Caenorhabditis elegans: one gene and its partners. The protein of the gene in region 3 interacts with the protein of the main gene of each other region in a pairwise test. Each region holds a gene or a part of one and is shown on either strand. Other genes may lie near its edges.

Region 1 (4,860 bases), on a different chromosome or scaffold from region 3:
CTTATGCTTAGGCGGGGCTGGGACCAAAAAAAATTTTGGACTAAAAAAAAATTGAAATTTTCGAAAAACCAAAAAAAAAAAATCCAAAAAATTTTTGATGCTTTTGGTCGATTTGTAAAGTTATTCAAGTAATGTTGCAAAATGTATTAAAATACATTTTTTGTACCATTTTGTACCGAGTTCGGCTCTAGCTTCTTGCTCAAGTTTGGCCCAAACAATATTAACTTGGATCAGAAGAGTTGGGCAAGACTTTGGCAAAACTTGGATTTGGGAAAAATCAAAGTTTAACTCAAGTTTTGCCCAACTCTTGCCAAACTTGCCAAACAAACAAAATTCTACCCCAGTTTGAAGCCAAAGTTTGGCAAGAGTTGGGCCCCCCAACATCTCCAACTTTTGCCCAAGTTAATAATTTTAGGGCCAAACTTGGGCAAGAAGCTAGAGTCAAATACTGAGATTTGTACCAATATCTATAAAATTTAAAACAACATTTGTCTGTGTCGTCATGACAGATTTTTGTTTAACACCCTCTATCATCCTTAGCACATCTTATCAAAAACCTACCCCCCCCCCCCCCCTCAACCAATCCAGTTAATATCCCGGATATCATCATCCTCACCCAAGTACCTCCAGTCTGTTTACCTGGGGGGGATATCGCGCAACGACCACAGATTTCGCATTTTTGATCTCCCGCTGGCTGCTATATCATCTTTATTTGTACTCACTCCCCTCTTGTGTATCTCTATTGTGTGTGTGAATATTGAATATGCTAATGAGCCCCACTCGAGAGTCTTCCACAACAACTGTATAATATCTTTTATATCGATAGTACACCCCCTCTGTTCAAACAAATCTTGTCATGGGGCAACTTTTTATTTGATCTTTCTAAACTTTTTCGCGGCTTACCACCTAACTAGTTTCTAATTGACACATACACTAGAGTTTTAATGAGGTGTTAAGCCATCGAATATTGCATTGGAATGATGATTGGCAGTTGCTCATTTTACGTTTTCAAAAATTGGTGTGCCAGTTACTCTACATTGCGCTTGCTTCTTTAAAAAGGCATAACTCCTTAGAAAATTTTGTTTTTTAATAAATTAAAATAATAAAAATAGATACAAGTCATAGTGTTTGAAATTTTGCACAGTCTCTCAGTTTGCAACTTTTGGCCAAAATTTTTTTCCGCGAAGTAATGCGCCTTTAAAGCTGGGCGAGCCTACTCAAAATGGTCGAGAGTGCTCGATCTTATTTAAAGGCGCATAACTCTTTTGAAAATAATATCTTTTAAAATCTTAATAAATACATCTCATAGTTCTTAAAATTCTGCACGTTTTCCCTGTTAACAAATTGTGAATACCTCCTTCCTCCGTGGAGATATGCGCCTTTGAAGCTGGGTCTACTGCCTTTTCTCAACAGGGTCGAGTGTGCTCGTTCGTGTTTAAAGGCACATAACTCGTATGAAAAGTGCGAATTTTAAAATTCAAACATTTATTTCTTACAGCTCTTGACATTCTGCACATTTTTACCGTTTACAAATTTTTGATACCTCCTTTCTCCGCGGAGTTATGCGCCTTTAAAGCTGAGCTCTACCAGGGGGACTAATTGTTTAAAGGCGCATAACTCGGCGGGTTTTTATGCGTTATAAATTTTTTTTTGTAGTATATAAATTATAGCTCTTATAGCTCTTAAAATTGTGTACACATTTTCTTAGTTGGAATTTTTTTGACCACATTTTTCCAGGCCGAGTTGTGTGACCTATTTTTAAAAATTTTCAAAAAATACCTCCATTGCCTAAATTTTCTAAAAAAAATCCCCAATTTTCGCTCAAAAAATGTACTCTAATCAAAAACTCTACACTTTGCAGATGCAAAAACCATGACGAGCGACACAATTCGACAAACTCTCGACGAGCTGCTACTTGACAAGAATGGCGGCAGCAGCAACGAGGCTCGCGCCTTCTTCTTATCACAAATTATCGATCAGCTGAAATTGATTAGTTCTCAGGTATATTTTATTGAATTGGGCGCGTTGTGGGCTTTCAGAAACGTATAATCATGACTAGGCCACGCCCATATATTGATTTTTGACTCCGCCCCTATTTGAAAATATTGCGAAATTGTGAAAAATCTACTGTAACTTTCTGAAATTAAGATTTAGAAAAGTTTGAGTATTTATTTTGTACTCGGCTAGTTATGAGCTTTCAGAAAGTATAATCATAACTAAGCTCCGCCCACTTTGGTTTAGGCTCCGCCCCCTATTGTGAAATACTTGCAAAACTACAGTAATCCTTACCAAAATGAATAATCAAAAAATGTTTTTAACATTTCTGAATATACCATGCTTTTAGCTTTCAGAAACGTATAATCATGACTAGGCCACGCCCATATATTGATTTTTGACTCCGCCCCTATTTAAAAATATTGCGAAATAGTGAAAAACCTACTGTAACTTTCTGAAATTAAGATTTAAAAAAATTTTGAATGTTTTTTTGTACTCAGCTAATTATGGGTTTTCAGAAACGTATAATTAGGCCACGCCCACTTTGGCTTAGGCTCCGCCCCTTTATTAACTTTTTGACAATGAGATGAATAATTTTAACCTTAAGTTTTCTCTATTTTGCCTAAAAAATTTTTTTTTCCAAAAACTGACTATTTGCCAACAAAAACCTTAATTTCGGCCCCGCCCACTTTGTACTAAACTCCGCCCATTTGTAACTCCGCCCATTTGTTTCAACGTTTTTTCTTAAAAAAAAAAAAAAAAATAATAATAATTCCAGACCGATGCAGAACGACAATTGCAAAAACTACAACTAAAGGATCCCAACGACAATATAGTCAAAGCCACGCCCCCTCCTCCGCCCCCGCCCCCGCCTTTAATTTCAATACTCCAACAGGCGCCTCCACCGCCTCCCCCACCGCCTCCTCCAACCCTAAAAGCTCCACCGCCACCGCCAATTTTGGGCCTGAAAACACCTTCAAAAAGCCTAAAAACGCCCACGCCTCGGCCCAAAGAGTGTCCCACCTCGTTTTTGCCGAAAAAAGAGAAAAAGACGAAAACACGGACGGTTCAGTGGTCGAAAATCAACGCGAGTGTGGTTCAGGACGACAGTGTCTGGGGTAAACTGGCGAAAGCCAGCAATGTGGATATCGATTTTGATCTACTCGACAATTTTTTTGGAATTGAGAGCTTGGCGGTGTCGGGAGCCGCCGAGGTGGTCAAGGTAGGAATTTTGTTAATTTTGTTAAATTTAGATTTTTAGACAAAAACAGTTTTATGAAAGTTTTGGAAAAAAATTATTTGAAAAAAAAATCGATTTTTGAAATTTTCCAAAAAAGTTTTTTTTTTTGGAAGTTTTTTATTTAACAAGATTTCATTCACAAATTAGGAACTTTCTTATTAAGTTTTTTGATATAACATCCATCATGCCTATATTCCGGCTATTTTGAGTTCTGACACAGCTGAAACCGGTGCTACAGTACCCCGCGTGGCGAGACCCAAAACTTCAAATTTGACGGAATGTAGGCGTGTAGGGGGTCATTTTGAAGCATTTGAAAAATTAAATTTAGATTTTTAAACAAAACAGTTTTACAGAAGAGCTTTGGGAAAAAACTATAAAAAAATTTCGAAAAAAATTTTCAACCCAAAAAAACATTTTTTTTTCCTCCTGAAAATTTCAAATTCCTTAAATTTCCAGAAATCTACACGAAAAGACGCCCACGTAGAATTATTAACTGCAAAACGTAGTCAAAACGTGGCAATCATGCTGAAACAGTTCAAAAATATCGATGAGCTCATCGATGACGTCAGCCAAAACAAGCCGGTCGCCGAAATAGATGCTTTGCAGAATTTGTTTGGAATGCTGCCGCAAAGTGAAGAGGTAAGTGAAAATAAATGGGAAATTCGGATTTAGCGCCAAAAATCGATTGGGAATCGATTTTTTTTTCGGCGAAAATTTGGATAAAATTGAATTTTCGAAAAATTTTTTGATTTTTTTGAGATTTTTTCATGAAAAATTCAAATTTCCCCAAAATCTTCAAATTTTCAGGAAGAAGCCCTACGACGATACACCGGTGACATTTCCCTACTTTCTCCTCCATCGAGCTTTTTCTACCGTCTAGTGCAGATTCAATTCTATCGCTTACGGTGAGTATTCGCTGCGAGACCCGATTTTTTTGGATTTTTAAGTGTGAAATTCGAGTTGAGCTTGCTGAGCGCTTCAATTTAGGTATAATCATGACCAGGTTCCGGTAATCCGGAAATTTAGGCGACACCTCTTTTCTTGGCTTATTGTGAAATATTGATTATAAGTCACGCCCACTTTTTGCACTATAAATGGGTACAGCCTAACATTTGCAAATATTTTTGTAAAAAAGTATATCAAGTCTAGGCTCCGCCTACTTTCAAATCCAAACCACGCCCCTTATTGCGAAATAATAGAAAAGTTATGATTTTTTTTGTGAAATTTTTTAGCTAAGCAGCTTTGTCTTAATTTATTTTGCTCAGAATTGAAAAAAAAAATCAATATTAGTTGACTCCGCCCATTTTCAAATCTAAGCCACGCCCCTTTCTTGGTTTATTGCGAAATTATTGCAAAATGGGGAAATTTTTTATGAATTTTTCCATTCGAACAAGCTTGAACTAACTTTATTTCAATTTTTTTTTGTTTAGAATTTGAAAAAATCAATATTATTTGGCTCCGCCTATTTTCGAATTAAGGCCACGCCCCTTTCTTGGCTTATTGCGAAATGCTTGGAAAATTTGGAAAAACTCTGCAAAAATCAATAGTAAAAATTTCAATTTTGCTCTGTTCGAGCTAATTGAATTGAAACTTTTAGAAAAGTATGCTCATTATTAGGCTCCGCC
Region 2 (7,235 bases), on a different chromosome or scaffold from region 3:
TGTAACGACCTTGATACCCATGAGAAGCTGACCATCTGAAAATAGAACACTGCATTTTTGTTTCTGAACAATTTTAGACGCATAAAACAATAAATTAACAACTATACGCTGTGGAAGTCAACACGATTCAAATTTTTCTTCAGAAAATCCATTGCTTCCATATTTCCATCAAAAAATGTTCATTGAACGATTTAAAATTAAGCTGAAATGAGCCAAAACCTCGTAAATGGAGACGTGTTCGTTCAAAGGCGCGCGCACTTTCACCACTGGGTCTCGCCGCGATTTGGGAACTCTCTCGAATTATTTGAATTTCTGCCGTTTTATCATCTTCATTATGCGTTTCCATGGCAATTTTCCTGAAGAACATTCGCGACTTTATATTTCTAATCCATTTACGTTTATATTCAATGCCATTCGCACTTAAAATATATCGATTTTGGCCAATAGTCCTTGTATTTAGGAGAAAAAGGTTGTAAGAGAAAAATCAATCGAAAAAAGAAATTAAGTGGACAATTCTTGCTTGTTATTGCCGTGATATGAAAACATTTTCATCTGATGGCTTTATTTTCGTCAATTTGCATAATCATGCTAATTTCAACTGTGCGCTTATTTATATGTCGTGCACCTTCCTTGAATTTTATTGATTATTGTTCGTATCCGTCTAGTTCTCTTTTCGAATTACAGGCAAAAACCATGGCTAAGCAACCAACAGTTCTCTGGGCCCAGCGTGAATCACTTGTCTATCTGACCATCGAGGTTGATGAGGCGAAAATCGAGGAACTGAAAGGAGAGGGAAACAAGCTTCACTTCCAGTACGTTTCGGATTAATATTTCGATTTCTATTTTAAATGTTTAAATACGATATGAAGCATATTTCTTGCTTCCTAAATATTCACAGAATGTTCATGATGGTACATAGAATGAGTCGTAATTCGTAAATTTTCAGAGGAAGCAGCAAAACTGACAAGTACGAAGCAACTCTCGAATTCTTCGACGAAATCGATCCTGCATCCGTAAAGCACACTGGATCTTCAACCCGCGTCGTTGAGATCACAGTTCAGAAGAAGACCCCAGCCTGGTGGCCAAGACTTCTTCAAAACAAGGGAAAGGTCCATTGGTTGAAGGTTGACTTTGGAAAATGGAAGGATGAAGACGAGGATGATGAGGCTGAGGATGCCGGAGCCGGAATTGGCGGTGGAATGGCGAACGGATTCGATTTGAACCAGTACATGTCCCAGATGGGAGGAGCTGGCGGAGCAGACTTCGGAGGTCTTGAGGATGATGAGGAAGATGACGGTAAGTATTAAGTGCAATAATATCCTTTTTGCTTACTATTAGTAATTCGTTAATGATAGAAAACCAATGTAGTATTAAAATGTTATTTATTATAAAAAATTTTCAGATATGCCAGATCTCGAAGACAACGAAGAGGAGGAAGGAAAGAACGGAACGAGAGCTTAAGCAACTCCTCAAGTCCCAATTGTTTCATTAAAAATACAATTTGAATTTCTCTAATTTAATTCTTTATTCATTTTTCTCTATCCCGATTATTCCTCTTCCAGTTTGTGAACGCTTCACGTATCTCAGTCACAGAGTTTCATTTATTGTTTCCACTTTAAATATTTATTGAGTAAAGTGATATCACACCCATCTTCTTGCAGTGAACTTGTGAATTCTGACGGCTTAATTTTTATCCCGCATTCGTTTTTCTAATCAGTTTCCATGGGCAAGAACACAATTGGTAAGGCTCTGGTAATACTTTTCTAAAGTTGTTACTTTTTTTAAAATGTGAGCATACAAGGTATTTAATTTTGTCTTCTTTGTGGATCCACATGGAGAAAAAACTCCTGAAGACATAAATTTTACTCATTCAAGCTGGATAATATCATTCAAATCATATCATTCAAGTTAATACGCTTTTTCCGATCAATCATCTGAATCACAGCCAGAGATTAAATTATGAAATCGTATTTTTAAGATATGAACCAATTAGTGTGTCCATTGTGCTGCGAAACGCTGAAAGAGGAAGGCGCACACTTCTACAAACATTTTAAGTACAAGTGAGGATTTTAAATGTTATTTCTATTATTAAATTCATATATAATTTTAGGAGATATGCATGCGGAGAGAGCACATGTGATATGGGATTCTACACACAACAGGAGCTCAATGCTCATTGCTCGAAACACGGACACAAGCGCTCTTTTCAGGTTTTGAGACGATTTTCTACAATTAAAAATATTGTTTTTTTTCTTCAGAAGACAGTAAACCCATACATTGACAAAATGATATCGGTTGTTGTGGAAGACGCATACGCCCTAGCGACTGACGATATGGAAACTGTGCTTGAGAAGCGATGGGGAAGAGATCCGAGATCAGTGTCACCGACTTCACCTGTTAAAAAGACTCCTACTGATAGTGCAAAGAATAAAAGAAGTTCCGTCGTAACTCCAACATCTCCTCCAGTGCCAAAAAAGGCAAAATCGGGAACTTCTACGACTTCACCATTTGCATTTTTAAATAGAAGAACAAATAATTCTGAGAGGTATTTATTCACTAAATACAATTTTAACAATGCCTAGATTCCGACAAAGCCCTCGTTTTAAAAATGATATATTCAGCTCACTCTGCCCCAACGCCTCCTCAACATCAGCTCAGCCAGCTTCATCAAGTTCAGCTCAAGCTATAGTTGATTCAACAACCAGTGAACATAATATATCTATTGATAAAACAAAGAAACCGAGGAAGAAAAGAAACGAGTCAATGACAGCAGCTCAAAATCAAGAGAAAGCTGGAAAAAATGCAAATTACGATGAAATGTCAGCGATTGATAAACTAATTGGATGGTTTGATCCAAATGTTCCAGAGAGACGAGATGCTGCAAAAGTGAAATGTGCGGTTTGTAATGAAGAAATAGTTTATGATTTTAGTGAGTTTTTGAAATCTCTAAATTCGAATTTAGTTTTTATCTTACAGTTCTCCGAAAAGGACACGTGACTCGTTCCCACATGGCAGCTGATGTAGCACCAGAAGATTATGATGATTTGCTGAAAACTGCGGTATGTACAGGAAAACAAATTAAATTGAGAACAAGGCTGTGCAGCAAATCTACAAAAACAAATTTAAAAAAGGAATATGATATTTCATTTTGAGGCAAATCTGAATTCGAGAAGGAAAAAAAAAGAATTATTCTTATTTTTTTCGAAACAAAAAACGAAAAATCTACAGCCCTGACGGTGACTTTCCTGCACTTTTTGAGATAATTTTCGAGTTTTTTTCTCAAAAATAAATATCATATTCAGATCGAATGAACATTTCCCCCACACTGTTATATTAATTTTTAATTTGAATTAATTGATTATCATACTGAAATTATAAGTTTTGACCCTGTATCTACATTTATCCTAACTAGGTTGCAGTTTTTAAATTAAGAAAAAATGAGTTTCAGATGGATCGATCGTATCCAGATCTCCCAAATTCGGATCTTGCTTGTCAACTTTGCATGACTGGTGCTGAAGTTCGAAAAAATATGCGCCGAGAGCATATCGAGAAGCTGCACACGACGAGTCTTCCACCGCTAACATGTCCAGTTGGAGAATGTGAAAAAGGATTCAGAAGACAGTGTGATTTGAGTTCTCATATGAAAGATGTATAGTTTTATTTATTTAATTTATAATAAAGCTAGGAAATTGACAAAAAAAATCAAAGAATTCCAGACACACAAAGCGAGCATGGCAGTGTACAAAAATGCAACATTTCAACAAGTTCGTCGCCGTCGAAATGCTATGATAAACGAGATGATCAATAAATGCTTTCCGTGGTCTCGATTAGAAGCAATTGAGAATAAGACTGTAGTTGGGGTTTGTTGAATTATTAAAGTTTTCTGGGTAATTATGAGATTCAGGAGAAGTCGGATTCTGTTAACCGCGCTCCTGTCGATCGCTCGTTTGACACAGATGTTCGAGTGAGAGACGTTAACGTAAGTTTTTAGAAAAATTATCTACGGGAGTCATCACGACCAAGAGTGACATCCAAATTTTTTTTTAATTGAAATTTAATTTTTCAATTCTTACAAAACACATTTTCAGAAAACTCGCCGTGCTCCTCAATACAATGCGAACCGATCTTCGTCGTCCGATTCTGATTCAGAACATGAAGAAGCAGCGTCGGTGGCTACGGGAGAAGTTTCCGAAACTGGTGGAACCGATGATTTCCCGCAAGACGTCATATACATATGTCATCAATTCAATACGGAAGTTGCTCAAAAACTGTCGCAGATCGTCAGAATAAAGCCAGAGATCATTGATGTGGAAGACGTGCTTATGAATGATGTTACAATGGAAATAAATGAGATTCCAGTTAAAGAAGAAACAGAGGAAGAGCAACCGAAAGAGGAAAATAACAGGTAAAAATTGCATAGATTAAGCTTTATTCGTTTTTAAGTAGTTTTCTCGCTGCTTCCTGCAATCTTCTTTTCATCAACAGACAATTGTTGCGTTATCTCAAGTTTTCGAGTTTCCGTAGCCTGGGAAAATAAGAAAATATTTAGATTAGTCTAAAAATAAATACTCCTCACCTCTTTAGAGTTGCCCTTCAGTATTGCTTTCTCGAATTTCGGAAAATCGTCATCCAGCGTCACATACTCGGGATCTTTGCTTTCCTTCATTCCGGTCACAGTGCGTTTCGCGTCACTGTAATGAGAATGATTGGGAAATTAGTTATTATTGTGCTTACAGTTTTCTTGGTGGAGCTACAGATGGTCCATGTGACATTTCTGAAGCTTTTTCGGCAATCTTCTTGAGTTGAGACACCGCCTCGTTGTGTTCATCCTTTGCATCACGATCACTTTGCCTTGGTCCCTTGCTCTTCTGAAAAAAGTCATTTTCCAATAATAAATGCCTGAAAACTCTTGAGAATTGGCGAAACTAACTGAATTTTTTTTTAAATTTACGGTTTCGCCGCCAAACACCACTTTTATCTGCGCCCTTCTAATAATATTTCCATCCCTCTCTTACCTCCTTGGACGGAACTTTTGCCATTTTGCTTGCTCCCTTCTCTCCCGATTGAGCTGTTGTCGAATGTGAAATTGACTTCATTTCGGGATTAACACTTCCACCAGTACCAGGAGTCGATAGATTCTTCTTCGCCGATTTCATTTTCTTCTTCTGCTTACACTTTGTGACACACATTTTTGAACTACTACACACGTGCCTGGAAGTGTGCGGAAATTGTTCTTCAACGGAAACGATAGACGAAAAAAATAAACTCACTATTACAGTTCGATTTATTGAAAAATGATAATCGAACAGATGAGTGAAATGATTAAAAATAAGAACTGATGAAATTGAACCTTTTTGAATATTTCGTTTTGATGTTTTTTTCTTACGTAAATAGTTTAGATTAATATTTTTCTCCCGTAAGGTTACATATTAATTCCTTTTGAAAGTTTTTTGAAATTTTTTGAAAATTGCCCGTTTTTGGAAAGATTCAGTACTCCATATTATTTTATTATTTTCAGTACTCTACCATCAATTCCAATTCCATCAATCTTCTCACCATATGAGCCAATTGTTCCACCACCAGCTACATCTCCAGATCCAATGAATCCGCCAATTGCATCACTGCTTCCAACTCGAATTCTCAGTGCGACAAACGTTTTGGAGAATAAATATAATGAAAATGTGTGAGTTTTTACGAAATATCTGAAAATTAAAAAAAAACAACTTTTGATGTTTCCTATCAATTTTGCAAAATTAAAAAAAGATGGGCTAATTATTTTCAAATTCTCGCGTTAATGAATTGCCTAGTTTAACGTTTTCAGCTCGTTTTCCGCGAAAAAATTATTTATAACGGTGAAACTGTTTTTAAGTCAGTTTTGAAGTTTTAGTGAATTTATTTTGGCCTAAAAATTGAAAAACTCATCTTCATATTAAATATTTTTTATACTGAAAAACATTTGTTCAGCCAGGGAATTTAAAAATAATTAGCCCATCTTTAATTTAATTTAATTTTCATTTATATTTATTACGATAGTAAGATATGGAAAAAAAATCATTAAAAAATTATAAACGTTTTAATTTTTAAGCAGTTAAATTCAAAATCAGATCAGTTTTAACCATCATTACAATATATAATTTCTAATTTCAGTAGCTCAAGAAGATCGACATCACGTGAACGTTCTTCCAACAGAAACTACGATGAAAGATGGTCTCGAAATGACTACAGTAACCCTCGTAACTACAGCAATCGTTCATTCCATCAACGAAACCAACGGGGACATTCATCATCGAATCGTTTCAATTCTCCATTTGTTAGTCGAAATAACTACAACAACAATTCTGAAACAACTGAAGGATCTTCTCGTCGTTCCGAATATAATTCTTCGTCTTCCAATCATCATTCCCGTTCGTCATATCGTGGCAATCGAGATGATCGAGGCTCTCGATGGTAAAGCCGCCATCAATATTATATATGCATTTTCCTTCTAAAACCGTTCAATCTTCAAATATTTCCCTTAACCTTCCAGTATTCCAAATCAGCTTGTGCGAAATTTTAAGAAAATTTCTCGAAAAATCTAAATCTCCTTCGCTTTCAAACATCAAATTTAGTTTCTGTGTGTTAGTATATCCTAGCGTTTCATATCTAAGATAACAATTCTCAATTATCTCTTTTTAGTTAGCAATAAAATAATGCCATTGTTGTTTGACTTTAATTGTTGAATCTCTCGTTCTGTTTAAACGAATATTCCATGTGTGTTGTGTTTTATAATATTTTATTGCTTCTATCGTTCTCCAAAGTCTCGATTCAAAAATCCATGTTTCTAAATACGGAAGTGAAACTAAAACTGTTAAATCTAAAATTTTCGAATCAATATAAGTACATTTATTTACAGAAACAAAAAATTACAATTTCAACATATAAAATTACAAAAATCAACAAGAAAACGATATAATTTTAATACATTTCTTTTTCAAATGGATCATCAATCTTGACACTAAAATCCATTGATCGGTTCAAAAAATCGCGGAATTGTTCGATTAAACTGTCACGGCGACGACTTCCGATAGATTCCATGTGACAATCCATTGATGTATCAGATGCTGAAAATTTTTATAATATCAATAACTTTAGAGGGGAAAATTACCTGAAATATATTACCGAGACGCAAAACCTTACGATTTTTACACCAAACTAAGGCGTCCGGTCTCGAAACGACAAACATTTGTTCAATTCGA
Region 3 (4,464 bases):
AGCTGGATCCGCTTTCGGAAGACCAACATAGACGGATGAGCTGGGTGCATTCTTTTCGGTGGATTCCGGTGCAAGGTTTCCGACAATCTCCTTTGGTTGTTGCTCAGTTGGCTGTTCATGCTTCTCATCTGACGCTGGAACCTTTACAGACTCGGGAGCAATGTCAGCAGACTTTTGAGCATCCCATGATTCAGGAGCAGTCTTGGATGGATCGATTTTCTCGCGTTCCGAAGTTGGAGCCGAGTTTGTGGGACGCGAAAAAGCCAAATAATTCCAAAAATCAGACTGAAACAAAACGGAAATTCGATGTTAAATCCTCCTAGTATTCTTACAATTTTATCTCTGAAATTCCAAACAACAATCGCAATTCCAACAGCAGCAACTGTCACAATCGCTTCTTTTCGAAAACTTCTCCTCGGAACTGCTGGTGTGATTGCTCGCGACATTTCGATTTGATTAAATTGTGAAATAATTGAAATATTTGGTTTTTCCTGACTTATTATTGTTGGATGTACGTGAAAAACTGAATTTAATTTATTTTTATTCGAAAAAAAAATTATTTATATTTAAGACTAATCAAAAAGTGGTTGCCCGTTGATTTCAATCACCCCTTCATCGCCTTCGACATTTTCGATTATTTGATGATCCACATCTTCGACATGTTCTTCTTCTAGAGTATCATCTTCGTTCACTAAGATCATTTGCTGAAATTTACGAATTTTATAAAAAACAATTTTCAAAATTCCACTCACCACATTACCCATATTATCCCAGTCATTTCCTAGATCCATTTGAAACTGATCATATTCATTTTCAGCAACTTCTCCTTCAATTTCAGCATTTTCCAATGCCATCATCTCATCGCCCTCTTCAATTATCTGCTCCTCGCCTTCATGATTTATTTCAAATTGAGGAACGAGGTGATGATGATCGATAGTTCCATCTGGTTGTTGTAATGGGACCAATTGAATTTTCGTTCCATTCTCATCGTAAATATAATAAGTTTCTCTGAGATCATATCCTTCTGGTAAGAGAACTTGAATATTTCCATGCTCATCATGAATCATTTGTGGGAAGTTGTGTTGTTCTGCTGCTTCATTTGCATCCTCATCTGGAATCATTGCTTGGGATGTAGATGGAATATCATTCGGATCTTCGGAGCTTTCAACAACGACTTCTTCATGTTGAGTTGGAATATGAAGACGTCGATGTTCGATGAACTCCGGACGATTGTCGAATTTAGAATCACAGCACGTCCAAAAGATCTCACCATTTGATACTTCTAATCTGCAAAAATATTTTTTCTAGATATTTTTCTTGTTTAAAACAAATAATTACTCAAAGGTAGGGAGACCTCCTGTCTCAACCATACAAGAAAACGAAGATTTCATATGAACTCGTTCCATGTGCTTGAACAAAAGACGAGGTCGATTCAACTTTAGTCCGCATTCTGGACATGTAACTCGTCCGGCAGTGTCTCCATCAGAAATCTCTCCAAGAATTGGCAGTCGAATTGACATTTCATCAGCCATTTCAAAATTTGTTCGTCGCCGCAATCGTTTTTGTTCTTCATCATATTGGTAAAATGTTCGACGTGATTTCAGGTATTCTGGTACATTTGCCCATGCTGTCTGAAAATGAAAAAATTAATCGAAAATGTTGAATTTAAATCTAACTTACATAATTATGAACATCGTTTTTATGGAGATTCAACTCTGACATACTGTGAGAGATATGACCGCAGAACTTGCAAATATATTTTTTTCGTCGGGTGTGATGCGATGTAACGTGGGCTCTTAGCTTCCCATCATCAGGAAATACTAATGAGCATAATTCACACGTCAGATTCTGAACCTCGTGAGCTCCTAATCGATCAATAAGCTGTAATCGAAGCTCGTCATTCTTTTTGTGTGCTCTTTGATGAGATTCCATGGCTGTTGGATGTGCTATGTTGACGAGCATATTACAGATTGTACAAGCTTCATATTGTTCTCCTCCTACAGTCGGCTGATCTTAAAATGTACATTTTATTATATATTTATTTATTTTTTTCTAATTTTACTTACTTCCAGCAAGAACAGCTTTTACAAGTTGATGTGCTCTTGCTTCGTGTCTCATTTTATCCATTGTTAGTCGATCGCGAGATCGGAGCCGTTCGAACTGAAATCTTTATTTTGTTTTAAAAAAAGTTACAATTTTCTAAATTTAAAATACCTCTCTTTTCTTCCATTCTCCACAAATTGTATTAATATCTAGCATGATATCGTCTAAATTCTGCAGGTGACACTCTCTTCCATGCTTTTCAAGTCCTGATGCAGTCAAAAAAATTTTCTCCTCACAAAATCGGCATGGATAAGATTCGACATCGTTAGCGATTCCTGGCAATTTCTTCGGTTTGAAGTTGGATGGGTGATTCTGAATATTAATAATTTTTCCTACAATAATTTAATACTTAAATTAAATAACAAATCTACCTCATTTACAGTCAATACTCCTGATTGTACTTCATATCCTTCTCGTTTAACTTTTTCACCTTCGTCGTCTCGAACATCTATAATGATTTGAATTATGACTTCTGCGACTAAAAACAATATTTTTATACCTTTCCGCGTATGTTTAAGCGCTACATTTTTTCGTATGATTCTTGGCGGTTTTCGTGGTCCTCCACCTATAATTGCAGCCATCTAAAAACAAAAAAGTTTACTAAATTGTAGAAAGTTAGAGGAATTAAAACTAAAAAATACATGGCAAAACCGATAAAAATTCAATAAATAAAATTTAATGTAAGTGCGCTCCATTGGATGCAAGCGAGAGAACGGAGACGCAGCGTTGGAGTCGACTTTGTGGGAAGGGCCACTAGACGAGTAAATTGGACCAAAAAGTATTAAAAATAATCGTATATTTTTTGTTCGGTAAGCAAAACTGTACGTACTCTTCATGTCTTCAGCTCTGAATTCCAATTTTGATGTAAATTATGAAAATAACAACAAATCCAAGACAATTGCGAGATCTACAGTACTCCTTTAAATCTAGTTGGTCGTTTCGAGACCGGGTACCGTATTTTTTCGTAAATTGCCAGGTAATTAGTGAAGAACGGAAATTTAAATTAATTTTTTTTATTAATTAAAGTTTACATTGTAATAGTCATTTTGTTAGATATGAACTGTTCTCAATTCTTCATTATTACACTAGTGTCTCAAATATGCTGACTATAAAAAAGAGCATTCTCAAATCACGTAAGACCAACAGAATCACACCTTAATATTAGCAAGGATGATAAATGTGGCAAGACGCGTCTCTAGTTTCCTCGATTTTCTCCCAATTCCAAGCAATTGTCATCATTTTGGCAACCTTTCTCGTACATTTTTAATGCCGCCTTACTTCGAAAAAAAAACACGATGAGAATGACAAACAAATTGAATGAAGGAGACAGTATAAAAGAGAATGTTTGAATTGGTCTTTCATCATTCGACTCCAAACACACTATGGTCCACTATAAACTTTCATATTTTCCAATTCGATTTGCTGGAGAAATTCCACGACAGATTCTGGCATATGCCGGGCAAAAGTTTGAGGATCACCGGATTCCACAGGCTGATTGGCCAGCTCTCAAGTCGAGTGAGTTTTTGAAACTTTTTTTTTCAAAATACTATTTATTCGTGATTAAAATGTTGTGCCGCTCTAACCGCTGTGGGCGTGGCGAGATCCACTTGATAAAATCTTGATTAGACCTGACACCAATATTCTGGGTCTTATTATAAATCATTGATTTTTGTTCACAAAAACTGACCTGAAAGCAATCTCAGAACTACCTTTTTTGGTTCAAAGTTCCCGTATAAATCTAACTTTTTTGTAGGGACCTATTTAGAAGGTGCTCTTTGAAATGAAATATGTATAGTTCCAAAATCGAGATATATGTTAAAGTATCTTCCATGTAATAGAATAACAAATACGATCACTTTTAATTGCGAGGCTGGCGGGATATTTGTGTACAGGTTTTTCTAATTTAATTTTTTTATGTCTAAAAATGTTGTATTGAATTTTCTATATTTCCAGCTATGCCGTTCGGAACTCTTCCTGTCCTTTATCAGGATGGGAAACCACTTGGACAATCCCATGCAATTTCTCGTTTTCTTGCTCGCCAATTTGGAATAAATGGAAGATGTCCATGGGAAGAAGCTCAAGTGAATGCAATTGCAGATCAATTCAAAGATTATCTCAATGACATCCGATCTTATAATCTCGTGAAAATGGGATTTGCACAAGGAGATGCCGATGCTCTTTACAAGGACACATTCCTTCCAAATTTCAAGAAAAACTACCAATTCTTCACCAATTTCCTTAAAGCCAGTGGATCTGGATTCTTGATCGGTGACTCTGTCACCTGGGTTGATCTGTTGATTGCTCAACATACATCAGATCTTCTCAGTGACAGTGGATCTGTGTTTGCTGCCAGTCAATCAC
Region 4 (5,249 bases), on a different chromosome or scaffold from region 3:
TTGTTTTAACTATTCGTATTAACACATTGTAGGGGTATGCAACATTGCTTTAGATTTTCTCAATAGCTCCTATTTTTCAATATTTTGGCAATTTGCGAAAGCTTACGAAAAATATAAACATTTTTGGAGTGTTTTATTATGATTTTTCGTCGTTTTGGATCATTATAAGTGTCCTTTAAGTCGTTTCGAGACCGAGTACCGTATTCTCGCAAAAGATTCTAGTAATTTCCTTAATGGGCAGAACCTAAATTTTTTTTTTCAGAACTGGTGAGACGAAGCCAGTGGATCGTGTACACTTCTCCCTTCCAAACCACGGAGAGGATCGTCATTTCCCTGATGATTTCCACTACTCGTTCGAAGTTGACGGCAAGATTCATCACGCAGATGTTCATATCAAGGAAGCCGTCTCATTCAAAATGGGATTGGATCAAGCATGTCAGGTCACCGAAGGAATGAGCGAATTCGTTGTCGACGGAAAGCCGGGATGGGGATTCGCGGAAGTCGAGTATCGTATTCAGCCGTATTAAAAAATTATCAAATTCAGATTTTCTACCTTTTCCACTTACTTTATAAAACCGTTTCATATGCTACTAACAAATGTGGGGTCAACGTGCAGAACAGAGCAACAGTAAAATGTACAAAAAATAATAAAACACTGGGAGGGGATAACAAGTTCCGAAGAACTAAAAACATGAGACAACAAAACATTTAGAACGAGAAAACAAAAACAAAAGAACAGAGATTGTAGCAGCTACGTAGCAGAAGTTGAAGCCCTTTTGTCAACCTCATCCAGTAGATAGTTCACCGTTTCTTGGACACTTTTGTCAATTGGAGTCTGTAAAACCAAATATTTCAAGTTTTCAAATTGTTCAGTTCTCTTACCCGAACAATATACTTTGTGCACGATTTGAAGCGAAGATATAGTCCCTTGCGAGGAGACTGCACCTCCAGAGGCTTCTCCTTTCTCGGGCGGCCTCTTTTGCGAACAAGGCTTGCCGTCGTGTCCTTCTTCGGCTGAACTTGCTCTATTTCGGGCTGCTTCTTCTTCATCACCGGAATCACTGCAGTCCTGGGAAGCGAGTAGGGAGTTTTGAGAGTTGGTGGACGAAGAATCCTCGGAGTTGTGATATTTGACCAGCGGAGAACGGTATTCTTGGGTGGTGGTTGATCTTGCAGATTTTGGGAAGACGTGGATGCTGTTGTGAAGTTTGTGAGTGGATGATGTCTTTTCTCATCTTCATCATTCTTCTTTTTCTCCACTGCAGTTTCTACTGGTTGCGTAGTGGGTGGTCTTCCAACCGGTCTTGCTGCTGAGGAAGAAGGACCATCAGAACCTTCCCTATTACGAGCCATCGATGCCTGATTAACTGAGTAGAACTGAGTGAGTACATGTGGAGCTCGCATGGTCTGCCCACAAAACTTCTCGGATCCGAAAGAAGACTTCAGGGAGGTCAGTTCGTTTCTCTGAAAAAAGTTAGATTAAATCTTCTTTGTTCTTTGAAACTTACCGAAACACCAACACGATCAGCACACTTTGGAATGATAGACATATTGGCAATCTCAATACATCTACGAACCGTCGCACTGCAAAATCCGGTCATCTGAGCCGACACCTCGTCCGGTTTCTGCCAAACAGTTCCAGCAGCTCGATCGCCGAGTCGTTTCGCGTATTCTCGATTCCAAATTGCTGTTCTAGCTACCATGACGCGTGTCTGATCGCAAAGATGAGCACGGATGGCAATAACGGTAGAATCGTCGACGAATCGGAAGGAGCTCATATCCACAGGCTTTTGAATTTCGGCGCAACGATAACATCTTCCATTGACTCCTTTGACGAAGGCGGGGGCCTGAATTTTGAAAATTGTTCGTTGTAGGTCTCGCCACAAATAATTTGATTTTGTAAAGTACTAGCCAGTGGCAAAATTTTAGGAAGAACTACGGTCGCACCACGAACAATTATCTCCAATCATCCCGGCGCAAAAATGTAAGCGCCTTTTAGAACTACAGTAACCCTTCTCCTCTTCTTTTCAATGTCGCTGAACTTTCTTATTTTTCGCCAAGATTTTTTTAATTTATTGAGAGAAACTGGAGTTGGGTTACTGTAGTTCTTCAAAAAATTTACCATTTTGTGCAACCATTAGATGAAAATATTTTTTGCTTATGATGAAAACAGGGAATGAAATAATATAATTATTGGATGAAAAACACTAGTAATTGCTGAAAAGTTTTTTTGTTAATGATAATGCAGGAAAATTCGAAATATTGAAGTTCCACTTTAGGGTTTTCCAAAAATATATAATTTACCGCCATATTCGAGTAGAACGTCATAGGAGTTTTATGATTATATGCAGGAATTTGGACACTTTTTGGAGCCACGGTACTGTTTTTGGCTTTTGGACGGAAGTTATTCGCTTGTCTGATCACGGCGTTTTTCGTCATCTCCAGAGCTACTTTTTTACGTTCCATTATCGATTTGGAGAGTGGAAGGATTGGAATTGCGCTCGCCGAAATTTTGGTTCGTAGAAGCTGTGATGGATTGATTTCCTCCAATCTGGAAAATTTGCTTTTTAGCAGGACTTATTAAACAAATTGTCATTATTTTGGAAGTCAAGGTTTTCAAAAACCCGAAATTCAACTTACTCAATTCGTTTTCCGACTCTTTCCGTATGTTCACTTCCAAGCGTTGCGTCTTCCTCGAGAATTTTCCCTTCACTTGGTTCGCTTACAGACTCCCGAGTACTTCCACTTTGTCGCTCGAGAATTGGCGGCGGTGTGACAGCTCGCTGGTACCGAGATCGCAGAAATTCCTCCTCATCAGAATCATAACTGTTTCGGAAGATATCTGAAGAGAAAATGAGCTTTAAAAAATCAAATTTTCATGGAAAATACCTCTTTTGGTTCGATTCGACTCAAATCTGGATATCAGAGATCGCTGTGGTGGAAGATCTGGTGGGCGTGTAGGGTCGGCCATAATTTTAATTCTGAAGACGGGTGATTGTTTTGTTTAATAAAAAACTTTTTAAAAACTAACGCTTCCTCCTCTTCGTCGAATCCAACAACGTCCACATCCTCATCAGAGTCTGTAAGCACTATTGGCTTAGATACAACAGGATTCGGATTTTTTGGAGAATTTTGTGCCTTTTCGAGTGTTACTTGTTGGTTATTAACAACTAACGGGGACTTCGACTTGTCTGTATTCTGAGAACGAATGACGTAGACTTCTGAAAACAATATTTTTATTTAACAGAGGACCATTTGCAAACAAACTTCTTCGTGGCAAATTTGGATCCGTAGCTTTTTTAACTGGCTTTGGTGGAGGTGGGAGACAGGAATCTCCGAATGAAGCCCATCCAATATGAGCTTTAGGTTCATAATTACTAGAAGATGCCGGTGGTGAATCAGTTTCGTCGTCGTCGTCGACTATCAGAAGATCATCGACGCTCAACGTTTTCTGGGATGTGGAAGGTTCATCATCTTTAGCAGTTTGCGGTTTTGGATCAACTTTTGGAAACTTGACCGCTGCTCGTTCTTCTTCATTCATAAAAGCAAATGACATTGGGGATATTGGTGGAAAAGCTGCGGGTGCAGGCTCTGTCGTCATGGAATTGTCTAGATTGGCAACAATGGGTTCAGAAGACATCCTGGAAACAAAAAATATGGAGATAAAATTTTTAAATTTAAATTTAAACTGTTTTTATTTACCAGAAAACTAGAAAATCCCAATGAGAAAGAAGGGAAATTAATAGAAAAATAAAGTTTTAAAAATACCTAAATTTTCTACAGTACCCGAGGTCTCGCGAAGATTTTGGTCCGCAGTACGCAAACACTCTTATGCTTGTTTACCGTAACCACTGAAATATTTTTTCGTTGTTTTTCTTTATTTAAAAAAAGTTATCTATTTTTCGAAATTTATTGAAAATTTCACATTTCAAAACCGTCAATAATTCTTTTAAAATTCATTTTTCGCAATATGGATTTTCTTCAAATGTTAAACCAGAGTTTTCTTGTAATTCCTTGAACAAATCACATTTTTAAATCACATAACCATTTTCGTTTCTGGAAATCTTCACTTTGAAGTTGAATTCTTGTTAGATTATATTTGTTTAACTCTGAAAAATAGTTAAAATGTGTGTTTTTATATGTTTTGTTTCAGATTTCCCCTGCTTTGTTTTCCTTTCCTAGACTAAGTTTTTAAATTTCGATCAATCCTTTTTCTTCATTTTACCCTCTCAAAACCATTTATTTACTCACTTGAGAGACGCAGAGAAACCATCGATGGCCTAGATGTCTCGTCTCGCCTCCTTCTCGGCCACGCGCGCCTATCTATCGATGTTTTTCTGCCTGTTCGCTCCGTTTTCTTTTTCGAATCTTGACCGCTTCGCATGCCTGTTCCGTTGCGGTTTCTGAAGCGTTTCGGTTGCGTCGCGGTTCCCGGCTCCGCCCTACTACCCGTTCGAGTCTCCCACGGTCTGTAGCACGTCTATCACCTATGTGAATGAGTGTGTACGATCATCTTCTTGCCAATCGGGTTATTGGGTTCAATGGATCGTAGATTGATATGAAACTCGAATTCGGGAAGGAATCGCCACGCAACGCAGCTAGAAATGCTTGAGAAACTTGCGAGAATTTGAGAAGAAAATAAATTTCAGAATTATTATTAAAAATTTCCAATGAGCGACCGACGGCGGCACGGAACAGAGGATTATCAAATCGCCGGTCTCAAGCATTCAATGACAAGTAAATCGATATTCATAGATTCAGAATTTCCAATAATTTTTCCAGGTGTCGCCTCAAGCTCCCACGGTGGTGCTGGAGACCTCCAACAACAATTTTCCAGGGAAGATCCACCCGTAAAAACTACGCAATACACACTTGTAAGCTGGAAAACGTTTAAAATTCAAAATTTTCAAATTTTCAGCTTCAACTAATCAATATGGTTCGAGAAAATCCGATTCTCTACGATGAGGAGATGCAAGCCGCCACGCCGGATGCTCAGTTGAAGGTTCAGAAACGAGAAGCATGGGATCGGATACGTGCTGATATAGTTTGGCAGGACATCACTCTTGTTCAGGAAGTCTGGTCGGATCTTCTCGATCAATATGCTAGAAAATCGATTGATATGTCCGATGGACTAATTGAGGCAATGCGATGGACAGATTCATTGATTTTTAAGAAGAAATGTAAGAGTTTCTTGCAAAGAAATACACCAAAATCATTTATATTTTCAGCAGACTCTCGACCTCCTTCAC

The links.
Region 1: the proteins of ZK546.5 (region 3) and exc-6 interact in a two-hybrid assay, tested with the Caenorhabditis elegans proteins (one large-scale study listed by BioGRID).
Region 2: the proteins of ZK546.5 (region 3) and ztf-8 interact in a two-hybrid assay, tested with the Caenorhabditis elegans proteins (one large-scale study listed by BioGRID).
Region 4: the proteins of ZK546.5 (region 3) and xnd-1 interact in a two-hybrid assay, tested with the Caenorhabditis elegans proteins (one large-scale study listed by BioGRID).

What each region holds. Positions count from the first base shown.
Region 1 is NC_003281.10:1,101,352-1,106,211, forward strand, and holds the start of exc-6 (Excretory canal abnormal protein 6), read left to right. Parts: upstream 1-1,856; 5' UTR 1,857-1,872; coding exon 1,873-2,001; intron 2,002-2,773; coding exon 2,774-3,217; intron 3,218-3,691; coding exon 3,692-3,874; intron 3,875-4,042; coding exon 4,043-4,140; intron 4,141-4,860. UniProt on the Caenorhabditis elegans protein: Constitutively active protein required for microtubule and F-actin growth, structural maintenance and organization during excretory cell tubulogenesis.
Region 2 is NC_003281.10:5,268,215-5,275,449, reverse strand, and holds ztf-8 (C2H2-type domain-containing protein), read left to right. Parts: upstream 1-1,978; 5' UTR 1,979-1,980; coding exon 1,981-2,060; intron 2,061-2,110; coding exon 2,111-2,210; intron 2,211-2,258; coding exon 2,259-2,545; intron 2,546-2,621; coding exon 2,622-2,929; intron 2,930-2,976; coding exon 2,977-3,059; intron 3,060-3,448; coding exon 3,449-3,649; intron 3,650-3,716; coding exon 3,717-3,860; intron 3,861-3,904; coding exon 3,905-3,979; intron 3,980-4,088; coding exon 4,089-4,405; intron 4,406-4,414; exon of another isoform or gene 4,415-4,438; coding exon of another isoform or gene 4,439-4,525; intron 4,526-4,576; coding exon of another isoform or gene 4,577-4,691; intron 4,692-4,734; coding exon of another isoform or gene 4,735-4,868; intron 4,869-5,015; coding exon of another isoform or gene 5,016-5,189; exon of another isoform or gene 5,190-5,211; intron 5,212-5,270; exon of another isoform or gene 5,271-5,324; intron 5,325-5,518; coding exon 5,519-5,683; intron 5,684-6,147; coding exon 6,148-6,451; 3' UTR 6,452-6,695; downstream 6,696-7,235. Other genes in the region: toc-1 (similar to Transporter Of divalent Cations), read right to left, coding at 1-35, 108-161; Co-chaperone protein daf-41, read left to right, coding at 694-812, 947-1,296, 1,403-1,461; ZC395.4 (uncharacterized protein), read right to left, coding at 4,439-4,525, 4,577-4,691, 4,735-4,868, 5,016-5,189; ZC395.5 (Ovule protein), read right to left, coding at 6,955-7,100.
Region 3 is NC_003280.10:4,934,038-4,938,501, reverse strand, and holds ZK546.5 (C2H2-type domain-containing protein), read right to left. Parts: upstream 2,685-4,464; coding exon 2,603-2,684; intron 2,552-2,602; coding exon 2,475-2,551; intron 2,416-2,474; coding exon 2,215-2,415; intron 2,161-2,214; coding exon 2,067-2,160; intron 2,013-2,066; coding exon 1,681-2,012; intron 1,632-1,680; coding exon 1,339-1,631; intron 1,288-1,338; coding exon 753-1,287; intron 705-752; coding exon 573-704; 3' UTR 528-572; downstream 1-527. Other genes in the region: ZK546.4 (Energy transducer TonB), read right to left, coding at 1-285, 333-446; gst-30 (glutathione transferase), read left to right, coding at 3,486-3,618, 4,057-4,464.
Region 4 is NC_003281.10:5,602,852-5,608,100, reverse strand, and holds xnd-1 (X chromosome NonDisjunction factor), read right to left. Parts: upstream 3,642-5,249; 5' UTR 3,641-3,641; coding exon 3,268-3,640; intron 3,222-3,267; coding exon 3,032-3,221; intron 2,982-3,031; coding exon 2,890-2,981; intron 2,843-2,889; coding exon 2,641-2,842; intron 2,552-2,640; coding exon 2,305-2,551; intron 1,848-2,304; coding exon 1,509-1,847; intron 1,465-1,508; coding exon 883-1,464; intron 836-882; coding exon 752-835; 3' UTR 545-751; downstream 1-544. Other genes in the region: C05D2.8 (DUF7064 domain-containing protein), read left to right, coding at 263-527; madf-11 (MADF domain-containing protein), read left to right, coding at 4,671-4,737, 4,783-4,874, 4,919-5,180, 5,229-5,249.